2 linked regions of the Macaca mulatta genome follow. The protein of the gene in region 1 interacts with the protein of each later gene in a pairwise test. Links are inferred from orthologs where the notes say so. Each region holds a gene or a part of one and is shown in the gene's direction. Other genes may lie near its edges.

Region 1 (9,303 bases):
TGATAGTTATCACTCTGATTAAAGGTCACTGTTGGTCATGATAAATGGAAAAAAGAGAAGCAGACCTATGTAGTCAAATAAAAATAAGCAAATCATCTAACACTTAAATGTGGTGGTTTCTGTGTGATGACACTGTATATTATCCATTTTAAACAGAATGTTAACCTTGTCATCTAAGTCTGATTGCCAAAGCATATGGATCCTTCTTAAATCTGAAATATCAGCTGCCAGTGCTCAAGGCCATGTTCAGAATGTCTGACATCTTTGAATTCCTACTAGAAACCCAATTATGCAAAGATAGTTTTGAGAAAATTAGTATAATATATACTACCCAATTATGCTTCTCTGTGTTCTCTGCTTTTCCCTATATTAAATTAGGTCACTGGAAGCTGCAACATATTAATATTTGTATATTTACTGTAATATATTGTAGAATTTCATTGCAGTAGTTCTTCAACAACAGATGGTCTACTTTTACATCCAAATTTTTTCATTGCAAATGTTTAAAAATCAGAAGGTTTTATGACTTAATCTTGATTTCTTGTTTCTCTTGGAAAATCAGAAAACTGGGTTAACTGGTCCCACCTTTCCACAGAAAGGGCAAAAATCTACTAAAGATGTGTGGGGCTGCCCCTTGTAATAATGACATGGGAACTCTATCACTGTCTCCACCCCTTACTGAGGTTTTTCAATATCCAGTGTCATTCCTTTACATGATCTGTCTGCCTTCTTTAATCATATGGTATTTGATTCCTCTGTCAGACCTCAGCTATGTAAAGATGAATCCTTTTCCCTCATTGACTTAATAATCTAATGACAGAGATTTGCAGTTCTAAGGAGGAGGTGATGTAGAAACTTTAAAAAGGCTCTTATAAAGGGATTGTATAGTGTGTGTATGTATATGTGTGCATAATATGCATGTATAAAATTTTATATAGGGGTATGCATAATAGCAGTTCTTCATGTAAGGGATGGAATCTCTATCCTACATCCAGAGAAGTGAAAAGTAATTTCTCATTCAAGGAACAATATTGACAGAAGTTTGGCTGGCATATATTTTACTTTTAGTAAATAAATGTAAACACTGGAAAAGCATTGTGTAATCCTTATATTTGATACTAAAGAATTTATGTTTCATGTAGCAGCCTTCCTTGATGGATACCTTGAAGCATCCATTCCATGTAATAAATTAACTTTTCTTCTATTTATCCAGAATGATGATATCAAGGTACTCTCATGGAAAGAATTGAGAAATAGTCACTTGAAGAATTTTCCGTAGGGTTGACAATGGAAACTGTGACACCTCAAAGCAGAAATTATTGGTATGAGGGACCACTAAGGAACAGGAAATCCACCAGGGTGCCACTGGGCATGGAAACTTGAAGTAATAAAAGAGATAAAATCCTGTTCCACAGCAGGGGCAGGAGTCATTCTAAAACAGAGAATAACTCAAGAGGCATTTTATCGGTGTACTATGTGGAACTAATTCATGGATTTGATGTCAACTGAGGATGAAAAAAATTTTGGAGATAAACTTGATGTGTTATTATTCTGATATTACATTGGCCAAGTTAAGAATCTTGGAGGAAAAACACTTGATTTGTGTCCTCTTGACCATTATGATAGTCTGCTTTTTAAAAAGTAAGGTATCAAATACTAATACACATCTAGGTCAGGGACCAGCAAAATGTAATCAATGGGCTCTAGTTGATTATATAAAATATATATGGGAAGTTAATGACTTGAATTACAGTCATGTTGGATTTTAGTTATGTAGAGGAAAAGAATGGAGAGTTTTCAGCAAACAGATAGTAATTGAATCTCTAAGAAGGTTATCTCAATGGTGAGTAAGAGAGAGCCTAGTAGACCTTTTATCCAATATAGATAATAAGAGAGTCTGTCTCCTTCAAGGACTCTTGGTAGGGGAAAAATATGGCCACACGAAACTGACATACCAAGTCACTTCTGTCTATGAGCTTGAATTCCTGCCACTGTTGTGTTTCAGGAATCTCAAAATACAGAAATTGATCCTGAGTGGTAATAAATTCTATATGGTCAACTACAGCCCACAGATTTTTTTTCCTGCCCTCTCAACTAGATTTTCATTAGTATTCAATAAATATGTTTTTAAAAAGCAGGCAATCATAATGGTCAAGAGTATAGACACTGGAGCCAGATACCCAGGTTTGAAACCCATCTTCATAACACTTACCTGTGTGACTTTCAACAAATTCTTTCACTTCTCTTTGCTTTAGTTTTTTTACATGAAAATTGGGTGTAATAACAGTAAATAAATAAATAATTAGCAAGTAAATAAAATAGCTTACCAGCAACTATTAATATACTCACGATACACTTATATTTCTTTGCTACATAACTAGATCCTATATACTGTCGTTATATTTCAGTATTTTGCATTTATATTTGCATTGTGAGATGAATCTATGGTTTTCTTTTTAGAATGATTTACCAATTAGTATTACGTTTATGGATTTAAAAGTTTAACATTATACAATACCAATTTATTATTTCCAAATGTTGAAATTTTATTACAGTAATTTTCTATTCCAAAATGTCTACAATTTAGCTAAAAATTATCTAGTCCTGATAATTTATTGGTTGAAGATCATTATTTGCATTTCTTATCCTTGCCATAAAAAAATGTATTCTCTACTTCTTTAAATTTCTTGCTGTAGTAATCAAAAAGGGCAAATGTTAATATCTTTGTATAGTGTTAGGTTTACAGTGGCTAGTAAGTTGTCAGCTGCATTTTTCATTTTTTTTAAATTTCAGAATTAAAAAATAAACCAGAGTTTTCATTACTAGCTTCAAATGCTTCAATGACAGCTATTAGCAGAAAAATACTAACACGTACAAGAAAGGATTTGTATTCATTTATTTTTCCACAGTAGTATTTCATTACACATAATCCCTAAAACTCAGCCGCTTGCAACAAGCGTTTATGCTCATGCTTAGGGGTGTGCAGGTCAACTGTATTTCAGTGGATGTATTTAAGTAGTGATTTGGGCTGCATGTTAACCTCAGTCTGCTCCAGGTATGTTTGTTCTGTGGCTGTAGCAGCAGCAGCTACCTGAGTCATGCTTTTCTAGTGGCTTGTCACTGAAGATCATAAGCCAGGCCAAAGCACTTAGCCCAGTTTAAGGACACTACTCATGTCATATCTGCTAACATCCATTGTTCAAACAAGTAACATGGCCAAGCCTAATTATGAAGGAACAGGAAGTATACTGGCCATACAGAAGGAGAGGGAATGAAATGAATATTTGATGAACAGTATTATGCTATCAGTTTCATATTAGATGTTTATTTCTGGTATTTTACAAACTCTCCACTTGTACTAAAATAAAGTGAGTCAAGTGTTTTTAGATTCCCCACATATATTTAGCTGAAAAGGACACTCCTCTGTTAAACACAACTATAGATGCGCCTAGTTTTGTGAATTTCAGCTACATTCAGTCCCCACCTGCCCTCCTAGAGGAGTTGCCTTAGTCTGAGCACAGTCCATTCAACCCTATATGATGGCCCTGGGCTTTCCTCAGGCAGAATTGTGAAATTAGAAAATTGCTACTTTGGAGCTCATTTGTTTATACACTCTTCGTCTTTTATTATTCACACCCCACTAGTTACCCACTGTTACTTCAGCCCTTGTCGTGAGGCATTTCATCAAGTTACTTACTGGTATTTGCCTTTACTCCAAACTGCTAATCTTTTCTAGGCGCTTAGCATTTCATGTTTGGTAACTCACAGTGGGTGGTAATAAGCCTTTTCATCATATTTAACCTTTCGGTCTGTGTAAACTGTGCTTCTCCTAAAGCAGAAGTCTAATAGGAATTTTGTTCATTACCTTCCTGATGGCTTCTAGAAATGTCATCACATAAACATTTCATATTTATATCTTTTTTTGCCTAAATTTTATTTTGGGTCAATTCAAATAATTTATTAATGTCTATTAATATGAAATAGAAATTGTTAAATATTTCAGAAAAACTACTTTCATATAATTTATCTATATAATGAAACAGTTTTTTTCATATATCTATAAATAGATACCGGAGCCTCTAGTTATCCAATGAGGGTTACATGTTCATGGTTACATATGGTACATAATTTTAATACCATATTTGTTTCATCTTCAAATTTGAAAGTACTTTTGCTATAAGTTTCCTAAAAATATGTAATACTTTTTTTTCAATTTAGATTAAATCTCTTGATGAACAGTGTGTGGTTGGCAAAATTTCCAAGCACTGGACTGGAATTTTGAGAGAGGCATTTACAGATGCTGATAACTTTGGAATCCAGTTCCCTTTAGACCTTGATGTTAAAATGAAAGCTGTAATGATTGGTGCCTGTTTCCTCATTGTAAGTCTGTTCTTATTAATCTTGATTATAGATGTTTTCTCTATATGCTTTCTACTAATCATTCTGAAATGATTCAGTAAAGTGTATAATTCAAAATGACTTTTTAAAATTTATAGATTTTTAAATCAGGATTCCCATTTAATCCTAGCTCTGAAATTCTATTTGATCCTGACACTCTGGGGTGACTAGTTTCTGTCTGAAGAGTCTATGAATATTCACATGGCAAGAGAGGGACTAAGGAGGCGTACTGAGGAGAGATTTTAGTCTCCCCTTAAATCAGCCATCTCCTACATGCTTTGAAGAAATTGAAAGCGGGCATATGTGGAAAAAATTTAGTGAAACAAGGAAACTTGACCATGACTCATAGTAATTAAATTAAACCATCTAATATGGGAGTATGAACTACAGTAAGAGTGTGCATTCACTCAAGTGTGTAGACCTAACTACCGAATTACAGGAGATAATCGGATATACCAGTGATTCTGAAATTGTCTTCACATTAGAATCACTTAGGGACCTTTAAAAACTGTAAGTACTAGTCCATACCTCAGTTCAACTGAGTCAAACTTCGAAGTTCATATAGTGCTCCAGGTGGTTCCAATATGCAGCCACAGATGAGAATTATGGGGATAGAGAAAAAGTCACATTTAGAGAAAATGACCGGAAGATTAATTAAATTCATACAGGTATCAATACATGAATAGAATTATAAAATTTATTATTAAAATGGAAAGCTAAAGGTAGAACTTATATAACTATAGAGCTTTTCTGTGTTTATTACATTTAATTTTTTTAACAGATATGTTACTGTGTTTCACTAGATCCCTTAGTATTTCTGCATCTGATCATTGATCTCTGTTTTGTTGCTGAAAATTCATTTGTATATTTTTGTTTTTATCTAGGATTTCATGTTTTTTGAAAGCACTGGCAGCCAGGAACAAAAATCAGGAGTGTGGTAGTGGATTAGTGAAAGTCTCCTCAGGAAATCTGAAGTCCGTAAATTGATTGAGACTATCTAAACTCATACCTGTGTGAATTAAGCTGTAATGCCTGTAGCTCTGGTTGTATACTTTTGCTTTTCAAATTATAGTTTATCTTCTGTATAACTGATTTATAAAGGTTTTTGTACATTTTTTAATACTCATTGTGAATTTGAGAAAAAGGGCATCTGAGTTTTTGCATTTATTAATGAAACTTCCTATAAAAAACTGCTTTGAATTATGATCTCTGATCCACTGTCCATTTTACTACCGAATATTAACTAAGGCCTTATTAATTTTTATATAAATTATATTTTAAATCTAGTTACAATTTATTTCATGCATAATAGCTAATGTTATTTTGCAAATGCCATATATTCAAAAAAGTTCAAAGATAATTTTCTTTACTGTTATGTTCAAATAATATTCAATATGTATATTATCTTTAAAAAGTTAAATGTATTTTTTTAATCTTCAAGAAATCATGCTACACTTAACTTCTCCTAGAAGCTAAGCTGTACCATAAATGATACATTCATGTTCACAAGATATTAAATTACCAGTTTTTAAATTATTGTTAAATAAAGAACAAAATAAAGAACAAAATGATTCTTGTCCAAAGAAAGGCACATTTTAAACACTCCTTCACTCTAAAACTCGTACTATTATAAATTTTGAAAGTTAATATTTATATATGAAATGTATAGCTTTTATACTCTATCCTTTCTAGAAAATGGTAATTTTCAGATGTTAATTAAATATAATATTATATATATATATTCACAGAAAATAAACCTAAATAATGATCTATTAGATTCAAATATTTGAAATAAAAACTTGATTTTTTTGTATATTTGACTTTTGTTTTTAAACAAAATGTGTTCAGATGGTATTTTGAACACTCATTCAGTTAAATGATGGTACATTTGAAGCAGGATATTTCCCTGACCCCTTCCTGGGACTCGAGAAGGGGTGTCTTGTTTACTCAGCCTGCCACTCTCAACTCCTCCTGGGAGGGAGTGCGCAGGCAAACAAGGCAGGAACTGGAGTGCACAAGCACTGGAACTGGCTGACCGCTTTGGCACGGGCAAGAGCAAACTCCGTGCACGCCCTGTGGTAGCAACCAGGTGTGGTTGCCTGCGATTCCTGAAGCCCCAGAAGGTGTGTTACGGTGCTCTTTTACCTCTGCAGTCTGTGGACAGCTTAAGTGTTAACAGCTCCGTGAGCCCTTTGTCTTGTCACGTGGGACAGCTGCCCTCCACCAGCAAGGGCAAAGGGCGAGTGTTAGTGCCTTTTATATCTGCACTCATGGCTCCCAGGCTCTTGTCCGGCGTCCAGGAAAAATGTGGTCACAAAAACAACTGAAGGATGGTAAATGCGGGGATTTTATTGCTGAGGAAAGTGACTCTCAGTGGAAAAGGGAGCTGAAAAGGGGACAGTGGGGTAGGTGATCTTCCCCTGAAGTCTAGCCATCTCCAGCTGGATTCTTCTCTGAAGTTACACTGTCAAGCTATCCCTCTGAAGTCAAGCTGCTTCTCTCCAATGTCCAGCCATAGTCTCCACTCCTCTCTGACTGAGTCTGGGGTCTTTGTAGGCACAGGATTGCGGGCAGGGAGAGCCATGGGCAGTTTAGGAAAAGGCAACATTCAAGGAGAAAAACATGGATATAAATTCTCACTTTGGGCCAGGGTTTCAGGCATTTCAGCTTGGAGGTAGAGTTTTCACTGGGGACTCACCCTTTTCTGCCTAGAATTTCTCTGCCTCCTGTCCCCATCATGTTTAACTGCCTTTTCCTTTCAAATCTCCTTTAAAAAGGAGCAAGTACATGACACTTTGTAGTAAAATCTGTACCAGAGTTGGAAACTAGGTTTTCCACCTGTCAGAAGCTGGTAAGAATTTAGTAATCTCTTTTGTAATGAAGATTGAGTTGAAAGATGACATGAACAACCCACAATATTCCTCACGCAATGGAAAAGTGTGCTTAAGCAATAAGGGCATGTGGAAGAGTCTCTCTTTCATAGTCAGCACAATTCTTATAACAGCAGCTCTCCTCATGGTGTTAGTGCCCTAGACCTCAATAGCTCCAAATGGCAAGTGGTGAGAACATTAGTATGCAGGAGATCTTCAAGAAAAGCCAAGTCTAGATGATTTCCCACAAGCCTAAACAAATCGCCAGATGCCACATTCCAGTGATGAAGTGTACCCATGGAACTCACTCAGAGCGTGTGCTTGGTAGAGATAGCATGTCAAGAAAAGTGGAGGTACTTGCATAGCTGAATCCCAATGGCATTGTTACGCCAGTTACAGAAGAGAGTGGAAATAGGATTTCCAAACTGGCCCTAATGTGTCAAAACTGACCCAAAATAAGGCTTAGAGTACTGACATTATCTCTGTGACAGCTACATCTTACTTTCATTATTTGTCTCTCTCTAAACAGGATTCTGAATCTTTGGTTAAGTAAAATAAAGCTAAACTGATCTAAACATTTTTTTTCTTCAACTCTGCAAAGAAGATCTGAGCAAAACCCCACATATTTTCTGCAGAACCTATACTAGACAAATATCTTATCATTGCATAATTACATAGAGAAAAATAATCACACATGAAAAAATCGATATATAATTAAGAAAATACCAGGAATTGTTTTTCAAAGTTTAACTGTAATCTTAATGAGATTTGAGGAAATGTTGCATATTTTTTTATTTCTGCTATGTGAGTTATAACAGTGAATGGAAAGTCACTGCGTGTGCCTGACTAGGGAAAATGTTGAGGAGGAAAAGCTGCAATGGATAAGCATGGAGCTGTATTTTTGGTCTTGGGAAGAAAGTTCTAGGTAGGTGGTCAGTGAGGAATGGGGAGAATGGGGAGGGAGGAGGAAGACAAGATTTAAGGGATGTCAGTACCTCTCCTATGTACCTCTTGGGGGAGGGTTGAAGAGTGAGGGGCGTGTAAGTGAAAGCAGAGACAAGGCTGGGAGAGGAAAAAACAAAAAGCACCAGCCACAGGCAATTAAGTTGCCAGAAAATCGGTGTCTGGGCTCCCAGCATCAAGTTAGCTAGCTACTCTAGGCATAAGTACTAAAGCTTTAACTGCATTTGGGCTAAAAGAGCGACTGTAACTTTAGGGTAACTAGAAAAGACTCTGTAGAGAATCCCTGCCATCAGTAAGAATGGAATGATTTAAAATGTCTCTGGGCACAATGAAGTGCTCCGAGTGCTTAAAGTGCCAGATAAGTGTACAGGGTTTCCCTCCATATGCTGCCTCTCTCCTTTCCTGTCCCTAGCCCAGCATACACTGCCTGAGTTTCCTAGGACCACGTTCCTGCACCTGGCACTGTCTCTTCAAGCTCTGTGCTCCTCCTTATGCCTTCATTTCCCTCAATAGTCAATAGTATCGTTGTCAATTGATTATGTTATCTACCTTATAAGGTCAGTGTGAAGATTCAGTATTTTAATGCAGGTTCAGAGACCTGAGCAGGTTCCTGCAGTAGAACCAGTGTAAAAAATGAAAAGGGCTATGTGTTGATAAAAATCAATGGGTTTCGAAACACCGGGAAGTGTCTCAAAGCCAATGAGGAAGATTTGGGCTAAATTAAATTTCTGTGTTATGATTTGAATAGCAAATAAAATTCATTTAAACCCTAGGAAGAATACTATCTCCTCAAAAAAAAAAAAAAAAAAAAGATGTCTATGCAAGATGCCAAGCTAGGGAATGATGTTCATCTCACAGAAGTGTAGATTAAAGGAAATTAAGGCATGGGGAGAACACAGTCTCTGGCTTCTGCGTTAGAGTCCTTTTTTTTTTTTTTTCTTAGCCTTATAGTGTCAAAATGTGGCAAGCCATTTTAAGAGAGGGACAGAAGCTGGGCTCAGTGACTCTTTCCTGTAACCCAGCACTCTGGGAGGCCAAGACAGGTGGATCACCTGAGGTCAGAGGTCAGGAG
Region 2 (10,472 bases), on another chromosome or scaffold:
CCTCTCAATCACTGTGTGAGTTTGTGTCTTTAGGGAAACTGAGGCCCAGGAAGGGAAGTGAGTTGCTCAACAACACACTGTCAGGAGAAGGGACCCTAATTTGAGCTTAGGTAAAAAGCCTCAGAGCTGTTGCCCTGACATCTGTCTTTTTTCTCTCTCTGCTTCCCACCCTACCTGTTCCCCCAGTCAGACTCAGTCACATGCCCACTCGAAGTGGCACTGCTATGGAAAGTGGGTGCAGGCGGTGGGCACCCTGGCGTGATCCGCCTGCTTGACTGGTTTGAGACACAAGAGGGCTTCATGCTGGTCCTCGAGCGGCCTTTGCCTGCCCAGGATCTCTTTGACTATATCACAGAGAAGGGCCCGCTGGGTGAAGGCCCAAGCCGCTGCTTCTTTGGTCAAGTAGTGGCAGCCATCCAGCATTGCCATGCCCGTGGAGTTGTCCATCGTGACATCAAGGATGAGAACATCCTGATAGACCTACGCCGTGGCTGTGCCAAACTCATTGATTTTGGTTCTGGTGCCCTGCTCCATGATGAACCCTACACTGACTTTGATGGTAAGGCTTCTCTAAATCTCCCTGGAGGGATTGTTTTTACTTGATGGACTCGTGACCTTTGGCCTCCAGTGGTGGGGTATCCTGTAATCCTTGACCCATACTGCATCTGTATAAGATGATCGATTGCTAATACTGGGGATTCTCAGCCTTGCCCTCTGATAAAGTCCATCTTTTAACAGTGCGCTAACCTTATTCTGGGCTCCTATTCTGGTGAGGGTATCCTGTTACTATCCTCAGTATCCTTTCTCTGGTAAAGGGATCCTGTTACTTCTCAATGCTTTTATTCTGTTGAGGGGACTCTGCTATTTATTTTAGCTGCTCTTTATCTAGTGAGGGGACTCTGCTTTTATCTTGAGTGCTCTTAATTGTGGTGAGGCCATCCTTCCTGGGGAGTTTGGGGTTGGAGAAGGGCATCATGAGAGTGAGTGGTCTAACCCCTGGCTTGTGTGCAGGGACAAGGGTGTACAGTCCCCCAGAGTGGATCTCTCGACACCAGTACCATGCACTCCCAGCCACTGTCTGGTCACTGGGTATCCTCCTCTATGACATGGTGTGTGGGGACATTCCCTTCGAGAGGGACCAGGAGATTCTGGAAGCTGAGCTCCACTTCCCTGCTCATGTCTCCCCAGGTGAGGCCTCACTGACCCCAGCCCAGAAGACTCCATCCCTCTCAGGGATCAGTACCCCCTACTGACTGCTAATCTTCCCTCTGCTTCTTGGCCCACAGACTGCTGTGCCCTAATCCGCCGGTGCCTGGCCCCCAAACCTTCTTCCCGACCCTCACTGGAAGAGATCCTGCTAGACCCCTGGATGCAAACACCAGCCGAGGATGCACCCCTCAACCCCCCCAAAGGAGGCCCCGCCCCTTTGGCCTGGTCCTTGCTACCCTAAGCCTGGCCTGGTCTGGCCCCCAGTGGTCGGAAGAGCCATCCCATGGCCATGTCACAGGGATAGACGGACATTTGTTGACTTGGTTTTACAGGTCATTACCGGTTATTAAAGTCCAGTATTACTAAGGTAAGGGATTGAGGATCAGGGGTTAGAAGACATAAACCAAGTCTGCCCAGTTCCCTTCCCAATCCTACAAAGGAGCCTTCCTCCCAGAACCTGTGGTCCCTGATTCTGGAGGGGGAAGTTCTTGCTTCTCATTTTGCTAAGGAAGTTTATTTCAGTGAAGTTGTTCCCATTCTGAGCCCCAGGACTCTTATTCTGATGACGTGTCACCCCCACATTGGCACCTCCTACTACCACCACACAAACTTAGTTCATATGCTCTTACTTGGGCAAGGGTGCTTTCCTTCCAATACCCCAATTGCTTTTATTTTAGTAAAGGGACCCTTTCCCCTAGCCTAGGGTCCCATATTGGGTCAAGCTGCTTACCTGCCTCAGCCCAGGAGTCCTTATTCTGGGGGAGGTAATGCCCTGCTGTTACCCAAGGCTTTTTTCTTTTTCCTTTTTTTTTTTTTTTTTTTTTTTTTTGGGTGAGGGGACCCTACTCTTATCCCAAGTGCTCTTATTCTGGTGAGAAGAACCTTACTTCCATAATTTGGGAAGGAATGGAAGATGGACACCACCGGACACCACCAGACACTAGGATGGGATGGATGGTTTTTTGGGGGATGGGCTAGGGGAAATGAGGCTTGCTGTTTGTTCTCCTGGGGCGCCCCCCTCCAACTTTTGCAGATTCTTGCAACCTCCTCCTGAGCCGGGATTGTCCAGTTGCTAAAATGTAAATAATCACGTATTGTGGGGAGGGGAGTTCCAAGTGTGACCTCCTCTCTTCTCCCCCTGCCTGGATTATTTAAAAAGCCATGTGTGGAAACCCACTATTTAATAAAAGTAATAGAATCAGAAGCGGCTGGCCATTTGTAGGTGTGAGGCTTTTATGGAGCATCTACTTTGCACTGAGATAGACTGTCCCTCTGCTTTGTCCTCAGGAAGCCACAGTCTTATGTTGCCATCCTAAAGACCTTTAAGGGTTCTTGAAACTGCACCACAAAAAAAACAAAAAACAAAAAATCTTGATTCCCCCTGCCCCTGATCTTAAGCAGCGCCCAGTATGTGTAGAAGGGCTGTCTGTTGGAGATACTGTGCATGAAGGTGGAAGGTGTTTAGGGTACATCCCCAATCAAGATGGCCATCTCAGAAGCAGATAAAATACCTTCCCTGGCACCCCAGGGGAAGGAGGAAGCCCTTTTCCCTGTTGGAGAAGAGCCCTATCAGGGTACTGATGAGGGCGGGGCTGGAGTTGGGCACTGACTGGAATCTGTCCAGGGTGTAGTCACCTGTTTTGCTTTTTTTTTTTTTTTTTTTTTTTTGAGACAAAAGTCTTGCTCCGTCTCCCAGGCTGGTGTGCAGTGGTGCGATCTCGGCTCACTGCAACCTCTGCCTCCTGGGTTCACACCATTCTCCTGCCCCAGCCTCTCGAGTAGCTGGGACTACAGGCGTCCGCCACCACGCCCGGCTAATTTTTTGCATTTTAGTAGAAACGGGGTTTCACCGTGTTCACCAGGATGGTCTCGATTTCCTGACCTTGTGATCCGCCCGCCTCGGCCTCCCAAAGTGCTGGGATTACAGGCGTGAGCCACCGCATCCACCCTGTTTTGCTCTTAATCTTTAGCCTCTCCCCCATCTTTACCCTTACATACCCATCCCTCTAATTTTTCCTTCAACACTTGACTTACCTGGCCTGCCCTATTCCATGTTGGTTTCACATGCTCCGACCTCGGCTGTCACCTCTCTTGCCCTGCTTATTTGTCTCGGTTCAGTGCAACCTCCGCCTCCCGGGTTCAAGCGGTTCTCCTGTCTCAGCCTCCCGAGTAGCTGGGTACAGGTGCATACCACTACATGCGGCTAATTTTTTTTTTTTTTTTTTTTTTTTTAAGTAGAAACGGGGTTTTGCCATTTTGCCCAGGCTGGAACTCCTGAGCTCAGGTGATCGGCCCGGCTCAGCCTCCCAAAGTGCTGGGATTACAGGCGTGAGCCACCGCCCCTGGCCCGGACTCTTGCCCTGCTTCCAAATGCTAGCTAACTGTGAGCCTTTCGCCTGTCCCCTTTATTTGCCATCCTCATTGGTGACTCACTTGTCTTCTCTGCGTCAACTTTCCTTTTCATTTTCACTTGTTTATCCTCACCTGCTCTGCTTTTATCTGCTATTACATGCCTGACTCGCACCTGATGCTTCAGCCAGTACGCCCTCACCCGACCCCACAGGTCAAAGTTTCTTGGTCCCCAGATTCCCCTGTGCTTTCCAGAGGGTGGGGCCTCGCTGGAAGACGGGAAAGCGGAACTTCAGTCCAACCAGGAAGCACCTGGGAGTTTCTGATTCGGAAGGGGCGGTGCCTTGTGGAGAAGCTGCCAATAAAAAGCCGAGATGAAAGAGGGATGGCTTAGCCAATGAGACTAGGAGACGGGATCGGGGGGTGATCTGGAAAACGCGATCAGTGAAGCGGACGAACAGCAGGACAAGGCGGGTCTAGTGACAGGAATGGGCCGATGAAGCTCTGTAGGGGCGGTGGGTAGGCCGATCGGGCCGTGTCCCCGGCATCCAGATCCGACGGAATTTGGAAATCCCGGGGCTACTCTTACGTTGAGCTTTTAGGAGCGAAGGAGAAAAGCGACCACCCTGACGATCCCGGCTCTCGACCCACCTTCACTCAGGCGGCCTGGAAGCGGAAGTGACGAACACGGAAGTGGTCTGCTGTTACCGAGGGGACGGGCCGGGCAAATGCCAACATGGCAGCGGTTGGGGCTGGTGGTTCCACCGCGGCGGCCGGGCCAGGGGCGCTTTCCGCGGGTGCATTAGAGCCGGGGACTGCTAGTGCGGGTGAGACAGTCTGTGTCCGAGCAGTCGCATGGGAGGCAGAGGTCGGGATCGCTGGGTGTCGGGAATGTTCCTCACTAAAGTGAGAGGGAGCATCCCGTGTGGACCGACGTGTGTGTGTGTGTCTGTGTGTGTCTGTGTGTGCACATTGTGAGTGTGTTGGGGGCGGGGAAGAAAACATTCTGAGAGTGCTTGTGGGATCCTTCCGCATATGGACCATTATGAGTGTGGAGGGTAATTCTTTTTGGGAAGGCTAAGGGCACCGAAACCATTCTGAATATGTGGGGTCCTTCCTTGTGGAAGAGACCATTCTGCGGGCGTGGGAGTTCTTCACTGAAGAAGTGGGAGACTATTCTGAGGGTGGTGCTTCCTTCCTTATAAAAGGACAGAGAGACTATTGTGAGTTAGGGTGGGGCGAGTCCTTCTTTATGTGACTAGAGAGGGTCCATTTTGAGGATGATGGTGTCCTTCATTATGTGCGGAGGAAACCGTTCTGGGGGCCCCCTTCCTAATGGAGGTAGAGTTCATTGTACGTTCGGGTGGGAGGGCTCATCGTTATATGGTGGAAAAAGAACGTTCTGAGGGTGCCAGGTCCTTCCGTATAGCAGAGAGAGCCGATTGTGATTGTGGGTAGAGCAAAGATTGTGATTGTGGGTAGAGCATTAGCTAGAGGGTCGGTGCGCGGTGGTGGGAGGACGGACCATGTGGAGTGCAGGGAAATATTTCCTCATCTGGTTGAGGGAGCCAGACCTTTCTTGGTGGGATAACCATTCCTGTTACAGGATTCAGTCCCTGGGAGCATGGGGGAATCATTTCTTGTATTTAGTAGACTATTCTGGGTCGGGAGGAACCAGTTGTCACAGGAGGGAGGGGTTGGAGAGACCATTCTGGGTATGAGGAGGATCATTCCATATGGGATGTAGGCCATTCTGAGAGTGAGGGAATCGAATCATTTCTTAGATGGGAGAAAGACCTTTCCTTAGGGGGTGAACATACCTCATACAGTGGCCTCATTCCCTGCATTGATGTATTATTCTTTACATGAGACAGTCCCTCGTTAAATAGAAGCATCATTTCATATACATTCTCAGTTTGCTCATCCGTAAATGGGAATCCTCGCAGTTCTTTTGGAGATGACAATGATATGAGTCTATTGAGGTAATCCATAGAAATCCCTTAACCCAGTGATATGCATACAGTAAACACTCAGTAAACGTGGAGAACATAGTTGTCGGTATTCTGTCTGGGGAGGATTTGCTTCTCACTTGGGCGGGAGCCGAGGCGCGTGGCCAGAGCTTGCCTCAGCCATTACCTGAAACCTCGGTAAGGATTCCAGGTATGGACTGGACAGGGTGGGGCCCATTTCTCCCTTCTGGCTCTTCCTGCTTGTGGCTGAGGCAGTAAGGCGGTAGGAGTCAGACCCTCATTGGGTGAAGAAGGCAGGCTGAGGGAACAAGTAGCGGTGGCTAGGAGGGTCCTGGGTGAGAAAGGAGAGGGGGTGGGTGGTGGTGTGGCTATGCCCTAGCGGCTTCTGACCCCCTCCTTCCCCCTTGCCCCTTCCGTTCCCCACAGCTCACAGGCGCCTGAAGTACATATCCCTAGCTGTGCTGGTGGTCCAGAATGCCTCCCTCATCCTCAGCATCCGCTACGCCCGCACGTTGCCAGGGGACCGCTTCTTTGCCACCACTGCTGTGGTCATGGCGGAAGTGCTCAAAGGTCTCACCTGCCTGCTGCTGCTCTTCGCACAGAAGAGGGGTACGAGCCAGGGAGGGGGCTGCACCGGGGTCGGTGCGTGGGACTCCACATGTATGTGTGTGTGTTCACACAGACGGTTTGCTTCAAGAGTGTCTCCAAATCTCAACCTGCCTGGGGCGCCCCTCCAGCTTTGTGTAGCTGCATCTTACACTTTTCTAGTCCTAACAGCCAGGGAGCTGACCTGTGTGAACTGTAGGAGTGGGATTGTCTATGCTTATAAAGTAGCAGGGGTCTCTCACATGTGATTTAGTCATCTTTAGCTTTATATTATGGAGAATTCCGAATACATGCAAAATCAGAGAGATTAATCAAATAGTAACATATCCATGTACCCATCCCCCAGAGTTAGCAATTAGCAACTCATGGCCGCTTTAAACAATATCAGTGATTGTTCACTCACTGCCAATCTATATGTCTACCTACATCCTTATCCCCTTATTATTATTTTTTGTTTTGTTTTGTTTTGTTTTGTTTTGAGACGGAGTCTCGCTCAGTCGCCCAGGCTGGAGTGCAGTGGAACGATCTCGGCTCACTGCAGGCTCCGCCTCCTGGGTTCACGCCATTCTCCTGCCTCAGCCTCCCCGGTAGCTGGGACTACAGGCGCCTGCCACTATGCCTGGCAAATTTTTTGTATTTTTAGTAGAGACGGGGTTTCACCGTGTTGGTCAGACGGGTTTCACCATGTTGATCAGGCTGGTCTCGAACTCCTGACGTTGTGATCCACCCACCTCAGCCTCCCAAAGTGCTGGGATTACAGGCGTGAGCCCTATATTATTTTTAAGTAAATCCCACACAAAGTAATATGGTATGGAAGTAAATTCCCCCATATTATCTTGAATAAATGTTTTGGTGCATTGTTTTTAAAAAAATAAAATAAATACAATACTGGCCTGGCGTGGTGGCTCACGCCTGTAATCCCAGCACTTTGGAAGGCTGAGGCGGGTGGATCATTTGAGGTCAAGAATTTGAGACCAGCCTGGCCAACATGGTGAGACCCTGCCTCTACTAAAAATACAAAAATTAGCTGGAAGTGGTGGTGGGTACTTGTAATCCCTGCTACTTGGGAGGCTGAGGCACAAGAATAGCTTGAACCTGGGAAATGGAGGTTGTGGTGAGCAGAGATCATGTCACTGCACTCCAGCCTGGGCAACAGAGCAAGACTCTGTCTAAGAATCATACATGAAAAAATTAATAATAAAAAAATAGGCCAGGCATGGTGGCTCACGCCTGTAATCCCAGCACTTTGGGAGGCTGAAGTGGGTGGATCACTTGAGGTTGCGAGTTCGAGACCAGCCTGGCCAACATGGCGAAACCCCGTCTCTACTAAAAATACAAAATTTAGCTGGGCATGGTGGTGCCTGCTTGTAATCCTAGCTACTTGGGAGACTGAGGCAGGAGAATCACTTGAACACGGGCAGTGGAGGTTGCAGTAAGCTAAGATCGCACGACTGCACTCCAGCTTGGGCAACAGAGCAAGACTCCGCCTCAAAAAAATAATTCAATAAATAACATGGACATAGAGAGTGTAATAATAGGTCTTGGGGACATGGAAAGGTGGGAGGCGAGTCAAGAGAGAGAAACTGCCTAATGGGTACAGTACTGTTTGGGTGATGAGCACACTAAAAATGCAGACTTCATCAGTGTGCAATATATCCATGTAACAAAACTGCAGTTGTACCCCCAATCTTTTTTTTTTTTTTGAGACAGGGTCTTACTCTGTCATCCATGCTGGAGTGCAGTGGTGTGATCTCGGCTCACTGCAGCCTTGAGCTCCTGGGTTCAAGCAATCTTCCCACTTCATCCTCCTGAGTAGATGGCACCGCAGGCACGTGCCACCATGCCTGGCTAATTTTTGTACTTTCTGGAGAGACGGGGTTTTGCCATGTTGCCCAGGCTTACATCTTTGTTTGATTTTTTTTTTTTTTTTTTTTTCTTTTGAGACAGTCTCACTCTGTCGCCCAGGCTGGAGTGCAGTGGTGCGATCTCAACTCACAGCAACCTCCTGGGTTCAAGCAATTGTCCTGCCTCAGCCTCCTGAGTAGCTGGGATTATAGGCGCCTGCCATGACGCCTGGCTAATTTTTGTATTTTTAATAGAGACAGGTTTTTGCCATGTTGACCAGGCGGGTCTTGAACTCCTGACCTCAGATGATCCGCCCTCCTCGGCTGCCCAAAGTGCTGGGATTACAGGCATGAGCCACTGTACCCGGCCCTTTTAAAAATTTAAATAAAAAATAATCACATATCCAGTTAATGTTCAAATTTGTAATTTATTAAATGTCATAAAACTTTTAAAAAATTCATTTGTAAAGGCCGGGCACGGTGGCTCACGCCTGTAATCCCAGCACTTTGGGAGGCCAAGGTGGGCAGATCACGAGGTCAGGAGATTGAGACCATCCTGATTAACATGGTGAAACCCCGTCTCTACTAAAAATACAAAAAAAATTAGCCAGGCGTGGTGGCAGGCGCCTGTAGTCCCTAACTACTTGGGAGGCTGAGGCAGGAGAATGGTGTGAGCCCAGGAGGCAGAGCTTGAAGTGAGCCGAGATTGCCACTGCACTCCAGCCTGGGAGACTGAGCGAGACTCCATTTCCAAAAAAAAAAAAAAAAAAAAAAAAATTTCATTTGTATATAGTCAGTGTTTTGTAATTGTTTTGTATCTTCTTTTTTTGAGAGAGAGTCTCACTTTGTTGCCCAGGCTGAAGTGCAGTGGGACGATCTCGGCTCACTTTGACCTCCGCCTCCTGGATTCAAGCGACTCTCCTGCCTGAGCCTCTCGAGCAGTTGGGATTACAGGCTTATGTCGCCACGCCCGGCTAATTTTTGTAATTTTAGTAGAGATGGGGTTTCACCATGTTGGTCAGGCTGGTCTCGAACTCCTGACCTCATGATCTGCCCACCTCGGTCTCCCAAAGTGCTGGGATTACAGGCGTGAGCCGCCAGGCTGGCCTTGTTTGGTATTTTATATTCTAAATCTGTTAATCTCTAGGGGTTTTTTGGTCTTTGCAATTAATTTGTTGGAGAAAACAGGTCATTTGTCTTGCAGGCTTTGGGTAGTCTAGATTTTGCTGCCTCCCTGAGGCAAATATTCTCAAAAATTTAACAAATATTCTGTCTTCTTTATCTCTTGTAAATTGGGAGTTGGGTTTATCTACTAATTTCAACATCTCCCTGAAGGTCTTCTACTTTGAAGTGTTGCCCAATTGTTTCTCTAAAGAGGTCTTGCATAAGTAAAGGGATGGAGATGAATTATGCACCTTTGCCCTTTGTTTACACTGAAGAGAACATTCTCACCCACTTGTTAACTCCAGGTTAACAAGAGACCTGCTCTTACCTTTATTAACTCTGTGAACTATGCAGGTGTGCACACTGCCTCAGGCCGTGGGGGTGGATGGGTTAGCAATGCAGAGGAGTGGCTTGTCCTCATTACTGATGGGAGATGGAAATAACAGATAGCCACAGACTTAATCACAGGCCTTCATCTCTTAGCCACATTTCAGCACCCCTCCCTCCCCCGCCCGGAATTTTTTCCCCTGAATTAGAGTTTGGAGACCAGTAGTGGACAGGGTTTGGTGAATGAGCATCAGTAGGAGTTCCAGGGACAACTTTGTTCAGTGTTTGAAGAAGTTTTGCCTGTGGAGTGACACCCAGCTGTGACTTAAAAGATGAACTGCCAGCTGGGCGTGGTGGCTCATGTCTGTAATCCCAGCACTTTGGGAGGCCGAGAGGCAGGTGGATCACGAGGTCTGGAGTTTGAGACCAGCCTGGCCAAGATGGTGAAACCCCATCTCTACTAAAAATACAAAAATTAGCCGGGCATGGTGGCAGGTGCCTGTAATCCCAGCTACTTGGGAGGCTGAGGCAGGAGAATTGCTTGAACCCGGGAGGCGGAGGTTGCAGTGAGCCAAGATCATGCCACTGCACTCCAGCCTGGACGACAGAGCAAGACTCCATACCCACCCCCCGCCCCCGCCCCGCCAAAAAAAAGATGAACTGCCAAAAAGTGGGGCGAGCTTTGCAAAGGCCTTGTTACATAGGAAATGATTCTCATGTTTTTTGTTTGTTTGTTTTGAAACGGAGTTTTGCCCTTATTGCCCATGCTGGAGTGCATATGGCATGATCTCGGCTCACTGCAACCTCCACCTCCCGGGTTCAAAAGATTATCTCTGCCTCAGCCTCCCGAGTAGCTGGGATTATAGGCGTCTACCACCACACCCAGCTAATTTTTGTATTTTTAGTAGAGACAGGGTTTCACCACGTTGGCCAGCCTGGTCTCAAACTCCTGACCTCAGGTGATCCACCCGCCTTGGCCTCCCAAAGTGTTGGGATTATAGGC

Evidence for each region.
Region 2: the proteins of PLSCR1 (region 1) and SLC35A2 interact in a two-hybrid assay, tested with the Homo sapiens proteins (2 studies listed by BioGRID and IntAct). The two-hybrid records come from large-scale screens. The link is inferred for Macaca mulatta from reciprocal best matches to the Homo sapiens genes PLSCR1 and SLC35A2.

What each region holds. Positions count from the first base shown.
Region 1 is NC_133407.1:49,497,663-49,506,965, reverse strand, and holds the end of PLSCR1 (phospholipid scramblase 1), read left to right. Parts: intron 1-4,218; coding exon 4,219-4,380; intron 4,381-5,282; coding exon 5,283-5,339; 3' UTR 5,340-5,732; downstream 5,733-9,303. UniProt on the Homo sapiens protein: Catalyzes calcium-induced ATP-independent rapid bidirectional and non-specific movement of phospholipids (lipid scrambling or lipid flip-flop) between the inner and outer leaflet of the plasma membrane resulting in collapse of the phospholipid asymmetry which leads to phosphatidylserine externalization on the cell surface.
Region 2 is NC_133426.1:48,981,749-48,992,220, reverse strand, and holds the start of SLC35A2 (UDP-galactose translocator), read left to right. Parts: upstream 1-3,971; 5' UTR 3,972-4,294; coding exon 4,295-4,385; coding exon of another isoform or gene 4,386-4,393; intron 4,394-5,633; coding exon of another isoform or gene 5,634-5,718; intron 5,719-5,954; coding exon 5,955-6,137; intron 6,138-10,472. Other genes in the region: PIM2 (serine/threonine-protein kinase pim-2), read left to right, coding at 187-559, 1,012-1,188, 1,287-1,450. UniProt on the Homo sapiens protein: Transports uridine diphosphate galactose (UDP-galactose) from the cytosol into the Golgi apparatus, functioning as an antiporter that exchanges UDP-galactose for UMP.